Linked DNA regions of Danio rerio. The protein of the gene in region 1 binds, or shares a complex with, the protein of each later gene. Links are inferred from orthologs where the notes say so. Each region holds a gene or a part of one and is shown in the gene's direction. Other genes may lie near its edges. The genes, in order: gtf2e2 and polr2c.

The links.
Region 2: gtf2e2 (region 1) and polr2c share a complex: the UniProt entries of both Homo sapiens proteins name them as parts of the TBP-based Pol II pre-initiation complex. The link is inferred for Danio rerio from reciprocal best matches to the Homo sapiens genes GTF2E2 and POLR2C.

What each region holds. Positions count from the first base shown.
Region 1 is NC_133176.1:24,449,524-24,460,425, forward strand, and holds the end of gtf2e2 (transcription initiation factor IIE subunit beta), read left to right. Parts: intron 1-3,225; coding exon 3,226-3,408; intron 3,409-5,155; coding exon 5,156-5,249; intron 5,250-5,362; coding exon 5,363-5,478; intron 5,479-5,604; coding exon 5,605-5,724; 3' UTR 5,725-5,993; downstream 5,994-10,902. UniProt on the Homo sapiens protein: Recruits TFIIH to the initiation complex and stimulates the RNA polymerase II C-terminal domain kinase and DNA-dependent ATPase activities of TFIIH. Both TFIIH and TFIIE are required for promoter clearance by RNA polymerase.
Region 2 is NC_133200.1:15,314,511-15,325,497, reverse strand, and holds the start of polr2c (DNA-directed RNA polymerase II subunit RPB3), read left to right. Parts: upstream 1-5,256; 5' UTR 5,257-5,447; coding exon 5,448-5,533; intron 5,534-6,947; coding exon 6,948-6,997; intron 6,998-10,035; coding exon 10,036-10,104; intron 10,105-10,189; coding exon 10,190-10,242; intron 10,243-10,352; coding exon 10,353-10,481; intron 10,482-10,987. UniProt on the Homo sapiens protein: Core component of RNA polymerase II (Pol II), a DNA-dependent RNA polymerase which synthesizes mRNA precursors and many functional non-coding RNAs using the four ribonucleoside triphosphates as substrates.

The sequences.
Region 1 (10,902 bases):
TTAAAGTATTTTGAACATTACTTTTTTTTTTCTTTGACATTTATAACGTAAATATAAAGTGTAAGTGAAATGTTAAGTACAGGGGTCTGTTCTTCCTAGGTGGATTACTCAGTTAGCTGGATTTGGACATTGATGATTTGACATGATCCAGGATCGTTTAGTTCTTTAAAACTTATCTAAGAGTTGTTGTCATAGCAACAGTTGTGGTAGCTCAAACCTGGTCGGGAGCAGGCTCATTCATGTAAACAGGATTACATCGGGTCATTTCAAGATAATACTTACTGAAAGTATGGACCAAATGCTGATGTTTTCTTACAGTAGTTATATACACTTGGCAAAATAGTAAATATAATTTATATATATATATATATATATATATATATATATATATATATATATATATATATATATATATATATATATATATATATATATATATATAAAGCAAAAAAATATATATTAACAAAACTTATGCAATCTGCACTCCGAAATAAAGTACAAAGCCTGCCAGGTTCAAAGAGAAAATGTATTGATTTGGACTTTTTAGTTACAAACGCATACATGCACAATATTCAACTTTTTAAAAAACGGATAATAATTTATGCAGTCATGCATGTGTTTTGGCCGCTAATAAACCAGTGATTTGATGCTTCGCAAAAGTTGCAGACACCTTTACCGATACAAAAATGCTTTTTTGATGCAAATTTAATTTATACAGTTATTCCTTATGCCGATTAAAAAAAAACTTGAGTAGGCCTAGGCTACTATAAAAAATAAAATCTTCTCTAAATGTAGAACTAAATACATTGATACCCATTGAAATACATAATGAATACTCCTGACTAGGGATGGGAAGATTAACCGATATGTATCAATACGCGGTCATGCGCGTGCACAATGCGAGTGCATCGGTAGAGCAGCAGAGGATGTATGAAATTTGGAAGCAAATCGAGATGCATCGGTTTTTGCGAGATGCATCGGTTTTTCCAAGATACAACTTGTCTTTTTAATGTAGAATGTGTTTTTTGTTTATTAACAAGTGTTGTCAACCTGTTTTGGCACATAATTTAATCGACCTACATAAAGTATGCCTTAGCAACGGACTTGCAGATGTGTACACTTACACTACAGCTCTAAGCTAAACAAACATGTTGGACGCCGAGACAATTTATTCTCCCCACTGAGTTTTAAATCTAAAGTATGGCAACATTATGGATCTTACAAAAAAGATGGATGACTTGACAAGACAGATGCAATTTGCAAAATGTGCTGCTCATCTGTAAAATACACGGGCAGTACGACTAATCTGATATCTCACTTGAAGCAGTGCCACGGTGTTGTTGTGGAAGTATCTTCTAGTGTTCCTGCATCCCCTGCTTCCTGCTGTGATTCACCTGTAGCTACCAGCTCCAAAAGTGGTGAGAAAAACATTGAAAGTTTTTTTCTATGCCCCGGTTGCTAACAGTTCCGCGTGCTCTATGGCAATAACGGATGCTATTGCATTGTTCATCTGCAAAGACATTCAGCCTTACAGTGTCACGGAGAACGAAAGTTTTAAACACCTCCTCCTTTTAATTTTTATTTAATTTTATTTTTATTACCCTGTTGTTTACATTGACATTCATGTTTCAAAGCAGCATAACACTGCTAGTTCACGACCTTAAGTTTTGAATATTAAGTGGAAAAAATTGTCTTTGTTAAACTTGTTTTCATAGTTGAAAAGTTAAATCACAATTCGTGTTGTGCAATGGTAAACCTTTATGTTGAAAGAGTGCAAATATATATATATATATATATATATATATATATATATATATATATATATATATATATATATATATATGTGTATATGTATATATATATATATGTGTATATGTATTGCACTTATACATTCTGTTTATCTTGGAAATACTTAAATAATATGTTCCATATGTTCTAAAATGGCCCTCTACTGTAAACCGACACTCGGGCTCTGAGAGAAAAGCCAGTTTGTAAAAAAAGTCTTGGTTTTATTGGTTAATAAATAATTAAAGTCATTCAATGGCACAGCATCCTCTTTCACATCATCACATAAACTTGATCTAATTAATTACTGCTGAATTATCACATTGTATTGTGATATGGGTGTGAATCGTATCGTATTGCATCACAATATGTCACAAATTTATCGTTAATGTATCGGATCGTATTCTTTGTATCGAGATGCGTATCGGATCGGCATTATAGCTTAGATGCCCAACCCTACTCCTGATACATGAAAGTGTAAAGCCTGCAGCTTATAACAAATGTGGAAAGTAATTTGCGCATCATATTTAACAAACCGTTTACTGCTAATTTGATGTCATTTTACTCAAATGGATAATTAGATGATTTCATTACGCTGCTGTGCTGTCAGCCAATTGTTGCATTGCTGATCATGATTTCAGGAATCGATAGATCTGTCCTTAACAACACACGCAGCGATCTCAGATCAGTTCATCCAGACATTTTAATCTGATTTGCGAACTTGTTTGAAGAACCAAATTAGCCAGAGATCAGTTATCAAGATTAAAAGATCCAGGATCTGCCAAATCATCTTAGATCATTTAAGCGAGGTACAAAGAACAGACCCTAGGACTTTCATGGCACTACAAATACTGGGGTATGAATTACAAGTGTTCTTTATCAAAATAAGGGTGCTTTAAAAAGTCATTGAAAGTCTTTGAATCTGCAGTTAATGAAAGTGTGGGAACCCTGTTTATTATTTTATCTATGATAGGCCTTAACAGCATAACAACAAACTCAACAAAATATTTTAAATTATTATTGTTCAAAATACAAAAAAATCCCTAAAAAATTAATATTTATATTTTTCTGTGTTCATAACGCACACCACTAGCAAACATACAGCTGTCTGTAAAAACATCTGACTTTACAGATATTGCTGTATGTAAAATTGAAAATGTATGTAAATTTTTTTTTCTTTTAAAATATATTTATAAGGCCACAAAGAGTATGGGATAGCTATGTTCCTGTGGTTTTAAATTATTATTTTTATGTTTATGTTTTTTTATTCCAGAATATTATTATAATTATATAATACTTGGATTTATATGCTGCAGAATACTTTTATTGACCAATGTTCCAACAAGCAATGTAATGACACGCAATATATGTTTTCAAGGGCAAGATCGACATTCGAACAAGAATTCAGCATGTAACCTTTCCCTCTCTCCTTCCCTCCAGGCATTAGCAAGTAATCCTAAGATTGATGTGCGGGAAGGGAAATATGCCTTTAAACCCAAGTATCATCTGAAGGATAAGAAAGCTCTGCTTAGACTTCTGGACAAACACGATCAGCTTGGTCTCGGAGGAGTGTTACTGGATGATGTTGAAGAGGGGCTACCCAATGCAGCCAAGGCTATTAAAGTAATACACCATCATGCTGTCACTCATTAGTAACAAAACAAAAAAAAACATTTACTAAACCGTACATTTAAAGGGGACCTGATATGCCCCTTTTTACAAGATATAAAAGAAGTCTCTGATGTCCCTAGAGTGTATATGCAAAGTTTTGGCATCTTATAACCCATGAATAATTTTTTTAGTTCTTTGAAACTGCTCCTTTTAGCCTTTGATCCAAACAGTGCTTTTATGGTGACTGTCTCTTTAAAATCAAATGAGTATGTACTCCCAGCCCTCCTTTCAAAAGAGTGCAGAGCTACAGACAACCATCACCATTCCATCATTAGTGACTGCATCTCACTTAAAACTGTTTATGCTAATAATGGAGAGATTGTCACTAATGGGCGGGGCTTTCCCCCTCTGATGTACAAAGGAAGAATGTCAGACAGTGTTTCTGCAGACTGCTTTTATGAAGTGTGATTAAAATGAAATTAATTAATGATTTTGTACAGTTGAAATCTGGCTATATTCCCACCTTGTTTCCACACAATTTTGTTTAACTCCTTATAAAAGTGATTTTTGCGCATTAGGTCCTCTTTAAAGAGCCCCTATTATGGGTTTTTGACAATGACCTTCCATGTAGTGTGTAACACAGCTCTAAGTGAAGTGAAATATCCAGTTATGGCTTAAATCTGAAAGTGCTCCGTGTTTAAAACAATTGATGCATTTATAAAAGAGTCGATACGAGACTTATGCCCCGCCCAATTATTGCATGCGCAAACCCAGGAACATTTAATGTAAATTTGACCCTTTTTAATGTGTAGTAGAGGCTCTTTAAATTACCAAGTACACAAAAAAGGGCTCTGAGCCCAGGAAAACTATAGATTTTTTTGATACCAAAAGTCTTTGAAATATTAAGATCATGTTTCATGAAGACATTTTGTCTACTGTAAATGTAAAAGTACCCTACTGTAAATGATTAGTAATTTGCAAAACTAAGACTTGAATTTGGATCATGTTAGAGTGGTTTTGTAGTCCAGGATCATGCATGTATTGTAGTATATATTTATTTATGTATATACACAAAAGTTGGTTCTGTCAACAAGAATGGTGTGAAGTAGCCTTTTTTTTGCTTTGGCTATAATTATTAGAAATATAAATAATACAGCTAAACTGTATTGTAATTATTGAAAAAATATTGCCATCTTAAGTGACCACTTGTAGTCACGGACCACTAAAAGACACAATAATACCATGTGGAAACCTGATCCATACCCTTTTATTTATTTGTTCAGGTAATTTTCTTTTTTTTTCAGCATTAGAAAACAACATAAATGTCATTCACTTTGACAGTAGTTTATATAATCATTTCAAAAAGAATGATTTCATGACATTAAATTAGGATCACATTGCAGCTCTAAAAAGCTTATTAATTGTGAATTTAATTAATTGTGATGTATATACACCTTGTTTAAAATGAAAATAACAAGGCTTTGATTGCAAAAAATACAGTTATTTATTTTAATTTGTTCATTTTTTTTAGAAACTCTCATAAATGTCATTCAGTGTAACATGTTTATATACTAAAAAAACCTTTTCATCAAGAATAATTCCTGCACATATTAAATTAGGATCTGATTGCAGCCACATTAGTAGAAATGCTAATCAATTGACATTTTAGATATTTTTATATATCATAAATGTTTGAGATGGAAACACAAGGCTTTAATAGCATGAAATACTCTAATTTGTTTTAATTGGTTTTGTTCAGGCGCTCGGGGATCAGATTATATTTGTGACTAGACCAGATAAGAAGAAGATTCTATTCTACAATGACAAGCACTGTCAGTTTGTCGTGGATGAAGGTATGTGACTCTCATCACAATTCAAAGCTGGTTCATTTTTGTCCATTACTGTTTGTTGAAAGAAGAGTTCCTGCGATGTTCTGTTGGGATATCAGTGTCTTTTTATTTTCCAGAGTTTCAGAAGCTGTGGCGGAGTGTTCCTGTTGATTCCATAGATGAGGAGAAGATCGAAGAGTACCTGAAGAAACAGGGCATCTCATCAATGCAGGAGACTGGACCAAAGAAAATGGTACGATTTGTCTCTCAAACACATAGAAATCAACATTTACACACAGAAAATCAAACACACTCTTCAGACTGGCTATTACGTGCATGTTTGTGTGAGGTTGATGTGATTTGTGATTGGCTGTCACAGACACCAATTCAGAAGAGGAAGAAACCTGGAACCCAGAGAAAGAGACGCTATAAGACTCACAATGACCATCTGAATGGAGTGCTGGAGGACTACTTCGATGGAGTTCCCTCAAAGAAGTGACACACACAGCTGTAAAAAGCTCAGAGTGATGAGACTGATATCTGTGATGTTTGTATATCTGTTCTGATAACGTCTTATTGTCAACCATAAAGATATGCAGACATACACATACACAACTTTAGAACTGTTCTGAGTTGGCACAAATGTGAACAGACTGTAAATATTTCCTTTCCAACATTACGTTTTACTTTTTGCTAGTGCTTTAAAAATGGACTTTTGAGCTCTTCTTTTTTTAGGTTTAAAGATTAAACAAGAGCAATCAAACCACATCTGTTGTTTCTTTTTTGAGTTTATTAATGATGTATTTAAAAAAAATACCTTTATAAGGCCCTATCATACACCCGGTGCAATACACTAAGGGTGCTTTCACACTAGCACTTTTGGTCTGCACCCGGTTTTGTTTGACATCAGAGTATGGTACGTTTAGCTAGTGTGAACGTTGTCTTCTAAATTCAAGTGGGCACAACAAACCGTACCCAAGTCCACCTGAAGGAGGTGGTCTGGGGTACCAAATAAGGGAACTGAACTTCCAACTTTACAACAAACTTTAGTTTTCATAATGTTTATTAGTGTGTGGATGTCTGTGTTAGAGATCTGCATGGGACTAAATTTTGTATCCTGCTTCCACCAGGTTTTAGTCAGAACCCCACCGCTCCCACTTATATTCAGCATTTGTTGTCCTGCAGCCCGACCCACCCCGTTTAACAACACATATAATAGATAAGTATAAACACACACACACAGACAGCATCACACTCTCTCTCATTCACACACATAGACAGCACAAAGCTCTCTCTCTCTTATTCACACACACACACACACACACACACACACACACACACACACACACACAGACAGCACAAAGCTCTCTCTCTCTTATTCACACACACACACACACACAGACAGCACCAAGCTCTCTCTCTCATTCACACACACAGACAGCAACAATCAAGCTAAACAGCATTTTTTGCGGCAGATAGATGCAAGTGGTTTTCTGTATTTTGGTTTTGGTAACAAAAGCAAAAGATTCAGTAAAAGCAGAATGACCATTTTGCTCTTTGCTTACATGGCTGTCACCTAGCAACAGCTGTACACGCCACCGCAGCTTAATGACGAAACCATACCAGGGTTCAGAAGGAAAAAAACGGTGTGAACACAAACCAGCCAAGAAGGTGGCAAGGGGAGATTATCGAACTCTGGTTCAGTCCAGGCAACTGAACCACGTGTGAAAGCACCCTAAGTGTTTTTGGGTAGTTTCAAGCCAGTGCAGGTATCTTTTGCTCCTTTAGGGTTGTCCTCAGTGCTTGTATTCATTGCTTATTAGACTCACAGGGATGTGCAGGAGCCCAGTATTATCTTCAAATATGAAAAATTAAGTGATTAAAATGTCACGAGCAGATTCTTTTCCTCGCTAGTGAAGTGTTCAGTTTTGCCAGTTACAAAGTACTCGCTCTTAAAGATAATGGGAGAAGAGACTCTGATGGATTTAATGCCCAAAACACACCCATGAGAATAAGGACAACACTATTAGACTGTGTTGGATGCACTATACTTAAATAGCAAAAGTGGATTCGGACACCCCTTAAGTGCATTTGCACTGTGTGCTTTAAATCATGTGCATATATGATTATAATACAGCCCTATATGTCATAGATGAAATGGTTTTAATATTAAAAGTGTAATGAGAATTTTTTTTCTGAACAAAAAAATGACTGTTATAATGTCATTATTATGATATCCAGAAGACACCCACTTAATATAGTTTAGTGACAGTTAATATACCGAAACATATTGTCAAGCATGTTTAGAACAAGAATATTTGATGGTTTATTAAGACTCCTATTTAAGGATCTGACTATAATCATTTATGATTTTTTTCTCTGTCTCTCTGTATTTGATTAGCAGTCGTTCTCTTGCAATTTTATCTACAAGCATGTTTCCTCAATTATTACAAATGATACAACTGAAATGCAGAGCACTAATGTTTTATCTTCTAAGCACAACTACATTGAAGTTATATTTAGAAAATCTCCATAATCTAACATTATAATAATAATCATTCAGTTTTACTTGTATGTTCTGTTCAGTGGCATAATTGATTCATCAACCCACATGCAGAACAAAGAAATTCACAAATATATAAATAGATATTAACACTTCACTGTACAGTACTTGTTATTATTTAGCACCTCAGATGTCTGTACATCTTTACACACGCTCAGCGTTTTTCAATCTCTGGTGTGTTTCACATAAATTGGAAACTTGAACTTGCATTAAGTTTTTAATTTAGGGAATATGTGTTCTTTAATAACATGTTTTGCCGTAATAACTCCTAATCACAGTTTATTGATGGTTGGTTCTGTCTGGGCATCAGATGACACAATGACACATGGAACGGCCTTGGAATGACTATATCAAAAGTGCCAAAAGTGCACCACAATTCAAAAAATTAGTCAAGATCATGGAAATGAAGAGTAAACTAGACCCTTTTTTTAATGCAATACAATTCAAAAGAGCTTTGTCGGCATGACCTGTCAAGAATTGCAAAAGTATTGTAAATTACATGAATAATAAACTTCAAAGTGATTATATAATAAATATACACAAAATACATACACAAATAAGAAAAAAAACTAATATTCTTTTGTGAATAATTAAAGGGAGAAATTAAAAAATACAAAAACAATACACAAATATATATTCATTCTGATGGTTTGTAGTAACGTTTCAGATAACTTTCTTTCATTTGTGGAAATATACCTAAAAACCATTAATATGCACAAGGGCACAATACACATGAACTGTAGTGTCCTGAACACGAATATATTTTGTTATTTTTATTAAAAGGGGCATATATCTATGCAGTATTTTAGATAGGGAGTACTTTGTGTTTTTTCTCTGTTCTTTTTCCTCAAGGCTGCACCATTTTTGAATAGAGTGATGATGAGTTGCACCAACAATCCGACAGCACCTGGTCAAGGACAAAGCCTTTATCGGCCATGACTACTCCTTCAGGCACCAGTAATCTAACAATTCCAGACTGTTTTGTTATCTTTTGGTCTAATATTGACCCTGCAAAGACCTTTAGGACAGAAGTGATTACACATATGGTGCAATACTTATCAGAGCCCTGAAAGAGGTCTGATTCTTGTAGGTGGAAAAGATTTCAAATCTAAATCGTGTTTAGATGGATAAAGTTACCTGGCATTGTTGTTCAGACCTGTTCCCTTGACATTCAGATTGGCTGTGACCCCAAGACAAGGTGTAAAGATTTCCTCCTTTTTCTTTCCTTCAAACCTCTTATAGCACAAGTCGGTGCTAAAAAAGTTAACATGCATTAACATTCTCTTTCACGCTGACTGCAGCACTACAACAGTACAAGGAAAAACACAACCTCGAATGCCAGTCTACAGTGTGGACTTGGTTTTCAATATTTATTGCATCCTGTATTCTCTGCTCGAGTAGACTAGGCATGGGGAGATACCCAGTTTTTAAGTTTGCTTTGGAAAAGTAAAAGTTTTAAAACTGCATAGATTTGGTTATAGCATTGCTAAGGTATATGTATGATTTTTTTGTGTTTTTTGTAAAGAAATCTTTTTTGAAACTAATGAAGATAGCAGATGTCATTTATTTATTTTATTTACTTAATTTTTAGCCTGACATGTTTACTGTTCCAAAATATTTTAAATGTTTTCTAAAATAAAATATATTGTGTTTAAAATTTTGTTTTTTTTACACCTTTTTTAGAGTAGTAATACCGTGATACCATGAAACCAACACAATCTCACGGCAATTCGTAACTTTTTCATTTAGTGGCTAATTCGTACAATCTAATTTGTACAATTTAGTACGATTTGCTTATCCCCCAATGACGGTTAGGGTTGGGGTTAGGGGTGGGGTTACGTTAGGTGCCACGCCTCCTTTTTAAAATCGTATCATTTAGTACGACTGAAATCGTACGAATTTGTACAAATTAGCCATTAAACTGGCAAAACGTAAAATACTTACGCTTTCTCGTGAGATCAGGCTGCATGAAACATGATATTTTATCCAAGGTTATCATTCCTCCATAACAGCCCATGCCTAGAATAGACTATTTTGGATGCTGATAGGGAAACGGACTCCCAAAATTAAACATCAAAAAATAATAATGCGTTTATCGGTCATTAACTTCACAAATTCTTGAAAGATTTTATTTAGATAAAAAAGCATATGTACATTAATAAAACTACACTTTGCATTATATTGTCTTTGCATTAAAATACAAAAATAAACTAAAATAAATACTTAGTGAATTTGACATTGTTCTCTCTTCTGGCTGCCGTTATCAGTCTCACATAATATTTTTCCTTTTTCTGCAAGTCGGGATAACGCCATTGGAATGCAAAAAAATTTATTTGTTGTGCTCTACCATTTGCTGCATTTTAAGTTTATTCAACTATCATAGCGTTGTGCATATGAATTGTGCAAATCTGATACCCGATATCCTAAAAGTTTGGATGGGGTGGTGGATTTTTTTTCCCTTTCCAAAACCTAAAACCCAAGGAAAGAAATGCCAGTGTGGATCAAGCTCTGTGAGGGGCGCTAAAAGAGTGGTGTTAAGTTGGCTTTGTTTTCGATATCTCTGACAGATACATTGAAACACGGCAATAGCTCACACAGCTCTTACTGTAAAAAAATCTAAACTGTGTTTTTTTTCAAAAATACAAAGCAGATTATGTTTCCCAGCTGTCTTTTTCTTTTTTTTCGTTCGATATTATTAGCACTGCTCCGTTTAAGCTCTCGCAGTAGTAGTCATACTAGCAATCATATTTGCATCTGTTTAAAGCTACAAATATTTGAAATTACATATCAACAGAATCAAACAGAGATATGATCACAAACTGAGCACTTGCAATCAATATACTTCACCCGCAGCTGTTTTTCAGGCATTTATATCCCTCATGCCCATGTCAGAGCTACAATTCACTGATGTTTTCATTCGTCTTTTAGAGATTTAGTCATTGGTGATGACGTTATAGCAGGTTAGTGTCTGCTTTTATATTTGGTGTTGGATTAATATTTGCTGGTAGGGAAAATCTATTGTTTCACTTCTGCTCTTTATACTTTGATTTGCATTTCAATTTATTTATTCTTTTCACTTAAGTGCAAATTAGTATAGAAACGGTATAAAAAGCA
Region 2 (10,987 bases), on another chromosome or scaffold:
GCTGTTTTTGTTGTTTTAGGTGAACTGGTACACGAGGCGTGCAGCGCTTACAGGCATCTATAACACCACAGAGCTGGTGATGGTGCAGGATTCATCTCCTGACTTTGAGGAAACGTGGGCCTTCCTTGATAATCGCATTAAGGATGTAGTTAACATTGCTAACACGGCTAAACAGGTTATTGTGGCATTTCTTTGTGGATTTTTTGTTTGTGATTTTTGTGATGAAAATGAAATAATTGTGTAATGATCTGTAGGTGCAAGCAACAGGAGAAGCTGTGGTTCAAGGACTCATGGGAGCTGCAATTACGGTAACCAAGCTCAAATTAAATCACAAAAAAATACGTTTTCCAAAGTCAGATAGATTTCTAATAGGCCTAATAGCTAGTCACATATTATGAATGGTTTGGATTTCAGTGATGACATGATAAAAGTGGTTCTTTTTCTTTTTATTTATACTATTTAGTGTAACGTTTTAGTAATTTTCATGTGTTTTTGTAATTTTTATCATTTTTTTAAACATCTAATTAAATTTAATAAAAAAGATTCAAACAAATAATGTAAAATTACATTGAATTAAATAAGACTTTAGAAATAAAATAAGTAATTATAGATAAAATTCTAATTAACAATAAATAAAAATCTATAATTAATATTTTAAAATAGAAGTAGAAAAATAGAAATGAATTACTAAAGTTTTTTGCATTATAAATAGAGTAAAATAGAAATAAAATGAAAAAGTAATAACAATAATTATTAATAATTATACAAATGTATAAAATACTAATAACTATACCTAATTATTTAAAATAAACCCCCAAAATATTTAGACACACATTCGTATAAAATAAATTGGATTAAAATAATCAAATAATTAATATACAATAATACAAAAATAACATTATTAAAGTAAATGAGAAAATATACTAGTATAATGAGCAGAATAAATGTAATATAACAAGGGTTATGGGTCCATGGCATCTAACCACTCAATCTAACAATGGCGTCTAACCACTCAAATTACTGTAATTTTTTTAGAAATTAATTCTAAATTAATTTCTGTATTTTTTTAATTACTGTAGTTTTTCTTAGAAATGGTAATTTACTATGTGGATTTAAAATGTGTACTTTATACTTTCACTTGAGTACACTTTCAGTGAAGTATTGTACTTTTACCCCACTACTTTCCTTCATCCAGCAGTCACTACTTAATTTTTTCCTGTCTATGGGGATTAGAAAAGTCAGTCATGTGATTTCTGTTCAATCGAATCGAACATAGAAATAAAATTGCTTCATACTGAATTACCATAAGACATGCAGCAAACTGTTTGGAAGCATTGAGTGTCCATGAAGATACTTTACACGCAATGGCCCAGAGACTATTTAGACTGAATGTCACTGATGAGAAGATGACGAATGTTTTTTTATAATAATAATAATAATAATAGTTTTTATTTATATAGTGCCTTTCCAGAGCTCAAGGACACTTTACAAGAAATGCGACAAAAAGATAAACAAACATACATGAAGTCAAATATAACAAACTGGAATTACACAAACAAGATCTAAGAGACATATGAGCAGAGTGGAGGTGGATCAGATAAAGTAGTCAGTTTGGCAGATCAGAAGCGAAGCATTCAGAAAATAAGAGTCTTAAGTAAGGATTTGAATTCAGAGATACTTTATGATGACTAAAATGGTCTTAAACAATTCAATTCATCTTTATTTTCATAGCGCTTTTACAATGTAGATTGTGTCAAAGCAGCTTAACATAGAATATTAAAGTAAATTGAAACTTCAGTTTTCAGAGTTTAAGTTCAGTTTAGTTCAGTGTGGGTTAATTTTCACTGCTCAGAGTTCAAACACTGAAGAGCAAAACCATCGATGCACAGCTCCACAAGTCCCGGACCATGCAAGCTAGTGGCAAGAAACAAACTTCACCAATTTGCGAAAGTTAACAATCACTAAATACACCACAGAATGTTACGTTTATACACTCACACACACACACACACACACACACACACATACACACACACATATATTACATGTAAACGCATCAACCTTTCCCAGCGTAATACTCACTGGTCATGAGTACTTTTAAAAGTGCTACTTTTTACTCTTTTGATTAATATTTACAACAGATACTTTTACTTTACTTGCACTACATTTTAGGGCAAGTTATGGTACTTTTACTTTGTATGATTTTTCAGTACTTTTCCCACCACTGCATCTAACTGACCTTTAAATCCTGTTTAAACATTTGATTTATTTTGCAACTTAAATTAAATTAGCATTTGTCTCTCATCTTTTCCAGCTGAAGAACCTAACCGGGATGAACCAGAGACGATGAGTTTTCGTCTTTCACTATCTGACCTTTCGGCCATGCAGCACAAATGTCCGATACTTCCCTAGCCTGCTCTAAACCAACTACACAACATGAAACGATCACAGTGAAAGTGTGTATGTCACGATACTCCCCCAGCACTTTTTAAATGGGTCAGCTGTGCCATACCAAATTCCTCTGTCTGAATCTTGACCCGAGTCCAACCAGGAGCCAGTTTTCCTTCTGCCATTGCAGTCTCCTTCTTGTTTTCTGCATTTGTAAAAAGAAACAAAAAAAGAAATGTAAATTGTATTTGAGAGTTCTATGTTCATACAGTTTGTGTCTGACTCTTTGCTGAGTCCTTCAAAAAAGAAATAAAGGCTTACCTATTTGCTGAACGCTGAGTTTGTTTGTTTGTTTGTTAATCTCTCCATGGTAATAATCCAAGTCTGTGATGGAAGAATTAAACACGATATCAAGGAGCTTTTCCCTGATATTGTGTTTAATTCTTCCATCACAGACTTGGATTATCTTCTTTTTATATGCCATTGAAACAATTGCTAAATATTTATCTGCTTTATATATTAATCTGCTTTAAGTGGTGCAATATTTGCAACTAAAACATGCCAGTAAAGTGTTCTTATTAATAATACATCAAGGGTTTTAATGTTTCTTATTACATATAGCAGGGATAACAAAAACTGTTCAGTTTAACATGGTGGGTCAAACTTTACAAACACTTGTTGGTTATATGGCCACAAATGCAAGTCTATTACATGTTTGTTTGTTTTTTACAGCAGACTCCTTGCAACAAAAAGCATATAAATATTTGTGTAAATAAATATCTCAATTCCGTCTTTAATAAGATATTTTAATGCTTAGGTTTAAGACGAAAGCTTAATTTTAATTGTGGTCTAATGAAACTAGGCAATGGAAATGTGTCACATTGCTGTTTGAAGTACACACACAACATGTTTTAAATAAATGGTTTAGCATAATTTTTAAAAAATACTAATATTTTACTAATAGTATTGGTTATTCTTTTGCACATTTGTGTATAAAATATAATGTATTAGGCTTCATGTTTCCTTAAAATGGGCTATATGCACAGCTCGTATTTTTTAGCCAATGGTAAACTTCCGTTGAAAGGTTTCTGTTACAATTTGAACTTTTATAAGCATCAACATCATAATATTGCAATCAGTTAAATGCACTTAAGCATTAATTTAGTTGTTCAAGCATTAAACGAGATGATAGACTGTAACTGCTAGCACCGTCAGTACCAGCAGGTTAGTGCAGAAACTCCATTCAAAATACTGAGTTAAAATAAATGTTTATATTTCAAAGAAATGGCAGGCAAAATTTGAGTTGATTGCAGTGCTTCTTATCCAGTCTGAGACCCACTTTATATCTAATAGGCAGTGAAGATCACTTGTTTTTAAAGAAAACAGATAATCGTGCCAATTTTGTATAGAAAGACAGTTCACTGAAAATCCTCGAAAATGGCTGGCTAAAAATTAAAAGTCCATGTGCACACCCCATTACAAACCAATGCTCTGAAATTATTAGTTTGTGATCATTTCCACAGAAAACAGCACAAAGAAATACCCATAGTAATACAGTTGTAAACCACAAAAATCGGAATTATGAAATCTGAATTTAGATGTTGCAGATTTACCTGATTTACATCTTCCACAGTAACTGATCATACTGATATAATGTCATATACAGGCGTGTCTAAAATGTAAAAAATACTACATTAAGTTAATATCATGTATGTTAGGTTTGTGATTTTAACTATGTATTTATTTCAAGACCTCAAAAGGACAGAGGAAAAGTTTTTATTTTAGATTTATTAAAAAAGGACAATAACATGTAATCTTACTTTGAGTGTTCTGCAGTTTACGGAAGAAAAATTTCGCCCAGAGTATATGATTGGGTCATAAAATCTATTTCTAAAACTATTACATCTGACCAGAACCTGTGCTTATACAGACTTAAAATGTGAAATGCCAAAATTATCTATTGAAGGGGTGGAGATTTTGTTAAGTCTAGCTTGTACCCTAAAGCTTTTTATAAATGGAAATTAAATCACCCGGTTCTGTCCACCATTACAATTTGGCCTGGTATCAATAAGTTTTTAGTGCCTATAATAAGATGAAAGAACTTTATTTTTAAATTCTTCATAATTACTATCCTTTCAAGTCTTTACTGTCTGAATTTAATATATACAATTCTTTGCAATGCACTTTCTGTAATTCTAACCTGGAAACAATATAGCATTTAGTTTTAGAATGCAATTTTGTGGGAAAATTTTAGACAGATATATCTTGGCTTTTCTTCTTAGCTTACAATTTTTTTTTCGATTTTAAGACAATTAATTTATTGTTTTTGATTTGGGAGTCAGATTGTATTTAAATGGACAATATGGTAAATTTTTTTTAACTCTTTGTGGCCTTTTCCATGTTCACAAATGTAGAGTTATTCAGTGTTTGCCAAATTTTAAAAACATTTTGAATCTACTTTATTATGAATTTCTGCCTATCGCAAAATAAGAAAGCTGCTAAAACAACTGCACTGCTGAAAAAAAATAATATAATTTTAGTAATTACCTTTAAGTTATCAGATCTCTTTTGGTATGCCAATGTAACATTCCTAATAATCTAAGTATAGTTTGAGATATTTATGTTTTATTTCTTTTGATATATATTTCTATATTTTTATTTTCTTTAAATATTTGCTTTTCTTTCATGTATTGTTTTTCCCATATCTAGATCTACATTGCAGTAGATGAACAATGAATATTTATAATTTGTATTCAGGTCACACAATGTTAGCACAAATTAATGTTTTATGTATTGCCTGTTACTTATGTCATTTAAAAATGACCGTTAAAAAAACTATTTTACCTGAACGCTGAAGACTTTTATTTTGTGTAACCGGCAATACTCCTGCAGTACTCCGGATGTTAACGGACTGGAGGCAGCCAGTGCCCAATGAGCTGCTTTCGTTTGTTATTGTGCTGAAGCCGCGCTCGACGCTGGACGTAATTGAGCAACTCACCGCACGTATAGTTGATTTGTTATTATATATATATTTTGTCTTAATCCGGCTTGATTTCGGTATGCCGTACGCCAACCAGCCCACGGTAAAAATCACGGAACTCTCGGACGAGAATGTGAAGTTCGTGATCGAGAACACGGATCTCGCGTGAGTAATGAGATTGATGGAGTCTAATCGATGATTTTGACCACAAGTCTCATGTTTAGAGCATTGTAGTATGTTTATTGTGCTCTCTCTAAAATGTAATATGTAAATACTAAATATAACTTACGTCTGGTAAAAACATGCTGCATACACCACGGTACTTTTTTTAGTTTTTTTTTTGTTTTATTCAGGAAATACTGTACACTTTACTGTTACAGATTACAGTTTAGTACTGTTTATTGTTGTTCTAACTTGACCGAATGCACATTAAATGCATTTTAAAAGCACATGAACAAAAATAATAATGTTTAAATAAGTCTAAATTAAACAAATAAGAATGGGGAAAACCATTATTAAATGTAAATATACCTTAAAATCATATAATGTATGTAATATATATAAAGATCTATCTATCTATCTATCTATCTATCTATCTATCTATCTATCTATCTATCTATCTATCTATCTATCTAACTCAAATGAGCATATCCATTGGACAGTTTTTTTTACATTTAATTGCTTATTTTTGTCATAATCTAGCCAGATAAGCATACAGTACTCAGCATATATGAGTACACCCCTACAAATCTCTCATTTCAATGAATATTTTCTATAGGAAGCTTTACAATATTATATTTGTGCATATACATTAGATTAGTCAGTACTGAAGTTAAATCTGGAGCTTATTTAACTAAATAACTTACAATGATGATTCAAAAATTTGTAGCCCAGATTTATGTTAGGGAAAAATAAATAAAACTTTCAAAAATAGCAAATATCAAGAGAAGCAAAAATATACACAATTTAGTTGAAATGTTGTAGTCTGTAATTCTTTTTGCAATATTTTGCATGAATTTAATTGCAATATCTTTCCATTTCTAAAGATATTCTGTGACTAAAATAGTATTTTAATATATCTGTTTAATAAATCTGTTATATTCAAATGCGCTTATATACACTACCCATATTCACTGAGAAATTGATAAAAATATGAATTTTCAAAGTGGGGTGCACTCCATTATGCTGAGCACTGTACATGTATTTGAATTAAAAATCACATATATTGGAATATTGAGCATTTTAATAGTTTAAATTTGTTGTTGTGTTTACATGAGGGAATAAAACGCTTCTGTATTAATTTAGTTTTTAGTAGTTTTATCTGTCCATCTGTCTATCTGTAATGACCACATTTATATATTTGTAAACATATTTCATTTTATGATAAATATGAGTTTATTTGTTATGTTTATTATCTGTAATGTTACATTAATTTGTAATGTTTTACGTTTGGTAAATCTATTTTATTTTTTATGTAAATTACAGCACCCTAAAAAAAATGTTTAAAGTTTAAGTTTGATGATAAACATTTTAATGAGAATAAGAAAAGCACCTGTATTTTATTTTGTTTATTTTTCAGGGTTGCAAACTCTATTCGACGTGTGTTCATGTCAGAAGTTCCAACCATTGGTAAGAATCAAAATCTAATCAATATGAAAAAAAAAAACACGTTAATTTAATAATACGTTTACTTGATTTAAAGGGCACCTATTTGACCCCTTTTTCAAGATTTAAGAGCAGTCTTTTGTGTCTTCATAATGTGTCTGAAAAGTTTCAGCTCAAAACACCCATCAGACTATTTATTTTACCATTTAGAAGTTTGTAATTTTCAGCTCTGAGCATCTTGTAGCTGTTTTTGTTGCCTGTGTCTTAAATGATCGTTCTCCCCGCCCACCGTTTCCATGTGCCACAGTCAGTGTGCCACAGTCTCGATAGAGCTGCTTGATTATGGGAAAAATCATAATCACGATTATTCAAACGATTATCAGTTGAAGTCAGAATTATTAGCGCTCCTGTGTAATGTTTTTTTATTTTATATAAAAATTTCCCAAATGATGTTTAATAGATTCAGGAATTTTTCACAGTATGTCCTATAACATTCTTTCTTCTGGAGAAAGTGTTAATTGTTTTATTTTGGCTAAAATAAAAGTAGGTTTAAATATTTTAAAACCTATTTTAAGGTCACTATTATTAGCCCCCTTAAGCAATATACTGTTTGATTGTCTGCAAAAGAAACTACTGTGATACAATGACTTGCCTAATTACCCTAATTGAAGCTGCGGCCACACTGGACTTTTCCTCACATAGACTTCCATTCATACCCACGTGAATGCCGGAAACGCAGGGTCATGCGTCAAGTTTCGGAGGTTGCTGTGGTGCAATGTTCAAGCTTGGTGAACTCTGACCTGCGAAATCGTATCACTTGACTGCTTGAGACCAATCGAGGATCAAAACATGACCTCTCTGGACAGAAATTTAAAATATAGATCAGTGGTTCTCAAACTGTAATACATGTACCACTAGTGGTACGCAGGCTTCCTTCTAGTGGTACGCTGAGAAATGAAATATGTCATGTACATGCTACACACATTTCAAAATTTACCAAAAATGATGGATATAATATGCCATATAGGACATATAGCCTATATTTCTGAGGTATTCTGCCACGTTTTTTTAACTGTGCAGAGTTGTAGCTGCTTTACTGGGCCTACTACGCTACTGTATTTCAATACTGCTCATTTTGTTGGTACTAGGAGAGACTATTTTTTTCTGAGGTGGTACTTGATGAAAAAAGTTTGAGAACCACTGATATAGAGCAATCGCTTGCTTTTTAAATGTCTAATCATCTTGTTTAATCCCGCCCCTTTTCGCAGAGCCGTTCAACAGAATTTCGCAAGCTCAAACTCTAGTGTGACAGCAGCTTAAGCCTTTGAATCACACTTTGAATCTGAATGCTTGTATTTTGAAAAATATCTAGTAAAATATTATGTGCTGTCATCATAGCAAAGATAAAATAAATCAGTTATTAGAAATGAGTTATCAAAACTATTATGTTTAGAAATGTGATGAAAAAATCTTTCTGTTAAACAGAAATGAGGGGTGGGGGTGGGGGGAAGGGTCGCTAATAATTCAGGAGGGCTAATAATTCTGACTTTAACTGTATATATGCACAGTTATTTTCCTTCCTGTAAAAAAGGAAAGGGAAATAAATACAATAGAATAAAATATGAAACAAACTGTGCTTTAAGCATCTTCACTGTAAGAATAAAACTTTAGCTACAAAAGTCCTTTAGTCAAGAGCAGAGAGGGATTTTCTCATTTGTTGTTTGATTAATAATGATGAAAACAGGCGGCAGCAGGAATATTGCGCGCTGTCACTTTAATGGTTTCTCTTTCACATGAGTTGATCCTCAACTTGTTTATTACACATGATTGTTAATATGAATAATCACTAATCACTTTTGACACCTATTTGACCATTAAAGCGCTCACATTAAGATGACTTTAGATGTGTGTGCCCTGCTCGTCTCTAAGCGCAGTGTGCGAATGAGACCAAATGCTGACCGCATGTTGTGTGTGCGCCGCACACACACAGCTGCGGCATACGGTCTCATTCGCGCTTTTAAAAACATGAATAGAATGTAAATCAATGAACGATGCTCATCCCGTGCTGTAAACGTTACACAGTACATGCTTTTAGTGATTTTCATGTGAAACTGAGCTTTGCAGAGCAGAAAATGTGTACAACTGGAAAGGGGGTCGGTATATGACGCAATAATCCTTTATCTTGTTCAATGATTTTCATAATCGTTAGCAGCCGAAATAGAATTTTAGATTAATTGCACAGCCCTAGTCTCCAACTGCGTCAGATAAACAGCACAGTTACAGAAATAAAGGAAGCAGATCTCGTGTAATGTTTGTGAGAAATACTACAGTAAGAACTTTCCCAATAATTATTTGATGTATTTGTTGTGGAGTTGATTCAAGCATTTCAATGAGTTGCACACAATGTCGTTACAAAGTTCTCACACACACATAGCACAGGCGTTTAACCTTGCACCGTTTTTGCATGGCAAATGTGACAGAATACATGTTAATATACACTACTGTATGGATATACGTTATGTTAATGTACAAAGTAAACCTGATTTAATGTCCACAAACCGGGATTGAAGCGTCATCTTTTAGAATTGTACTGACATGCGGCTGTGCTGATGAAGACGGTAAAATTTTTTAAAAGTTTTAAAAAATGTTTTAAACTCGTGCTTGATCACATTTGATGATGATTGATGATCACAGAGAGCTGAACAGATCTTTTGATCCCAGTTGCTTTGCACATGTCCTGTCTTGTTGATATGATTACTACAGAGACATACTAATACACGGCTGTCAATCAATTCGGTGGGTGGGGAAACTGCACTACTAAGTCACGTTGCGGTGGGTCTCAAAATGAGGATTTTAATCCTGTTTTAACATCAGGATATATATATATGTATATAAAAAAAAGAGACTTATTGTCTTTATATCACCGCGATATGACTATGGACACACTGTACCTACACACAGTCCAAACAGCTCCTAAAAGATGGTTTTCATCATAGGTGCCCTTTAATTCTGCTCTTTGTCTGTTAAACCTGTTAATCTGATGTAATGCGCTCATTTGCCAGCTATTGATTGGGTTCAGATCGATGCCAACTCCTCTGTGCTCCACGATGAGTTTGTTGCTCATAGAGTGGGTGCGTATGTTCATCGTCTCTCCAAAATCTTTCTCTTCATTCTTCCAATAACACCAAGCATAATTATCAGGCTCATGTTTTACAGGATTAATTCCGCTCACAAGTGATGACATCGTTGACAAGATGCAGTACTCGAGAGTAAGTGTCTAAACCAGGGTTTCTATTTTTATAAATCTGCATGAACATGAATCATCTTATTAATTGGAAGAGCGAAAATGTAATATTTGGCTTACTTTGTTTCCAATCAGGACTGCACGTGTGACGATTTCTGTCCCGAGTGTTCGGTTGAGTTGACGCTGGACGTGAGATGCACTGAAGACCAGACACGTCACGTGACCTCACGAGATCTTCTGTCTAATAACCCGCGAGTCATTCCTGTAAGGAGATTTTCTAGAGTCATTTTTAAAAAATGTATTCAAAATGCAGGAAAATAATATTTTAGCCAGTACAAAGCATGTGACTTCAGTAGCCATTGTTTGTTTTAGCTTAATTAATAATTTTAAAATATCTATTGATAATTTAATTTCTCATCTGGCATCTAGTAGCCAGATAATGTTAAAAATAAGCAACTATGGACTGATACCAATATGGGTGATAGATGCATAACAACTTGTTGATAAACAAAAGGTGTTTAATTAAAAAAAACATGAAAAGTAGAAAAACAAAACGTCATTTTCAAGTTACAAAACTTTTTTTACTTTTTTTACAAAACTAGATTTTACATTTGTTTTTATTTTTTTATTATGTTTTAACAACTGACAGAGTTAATGACAGTAAATGGGTAAATATTGTGTCATTTGAACTTGGCGTTTATGATTAAATTAAACAAGAGATGCTCTGAAATGTAGAATTTAGGCAGATGGCTATAATAGTATCAGTAAAA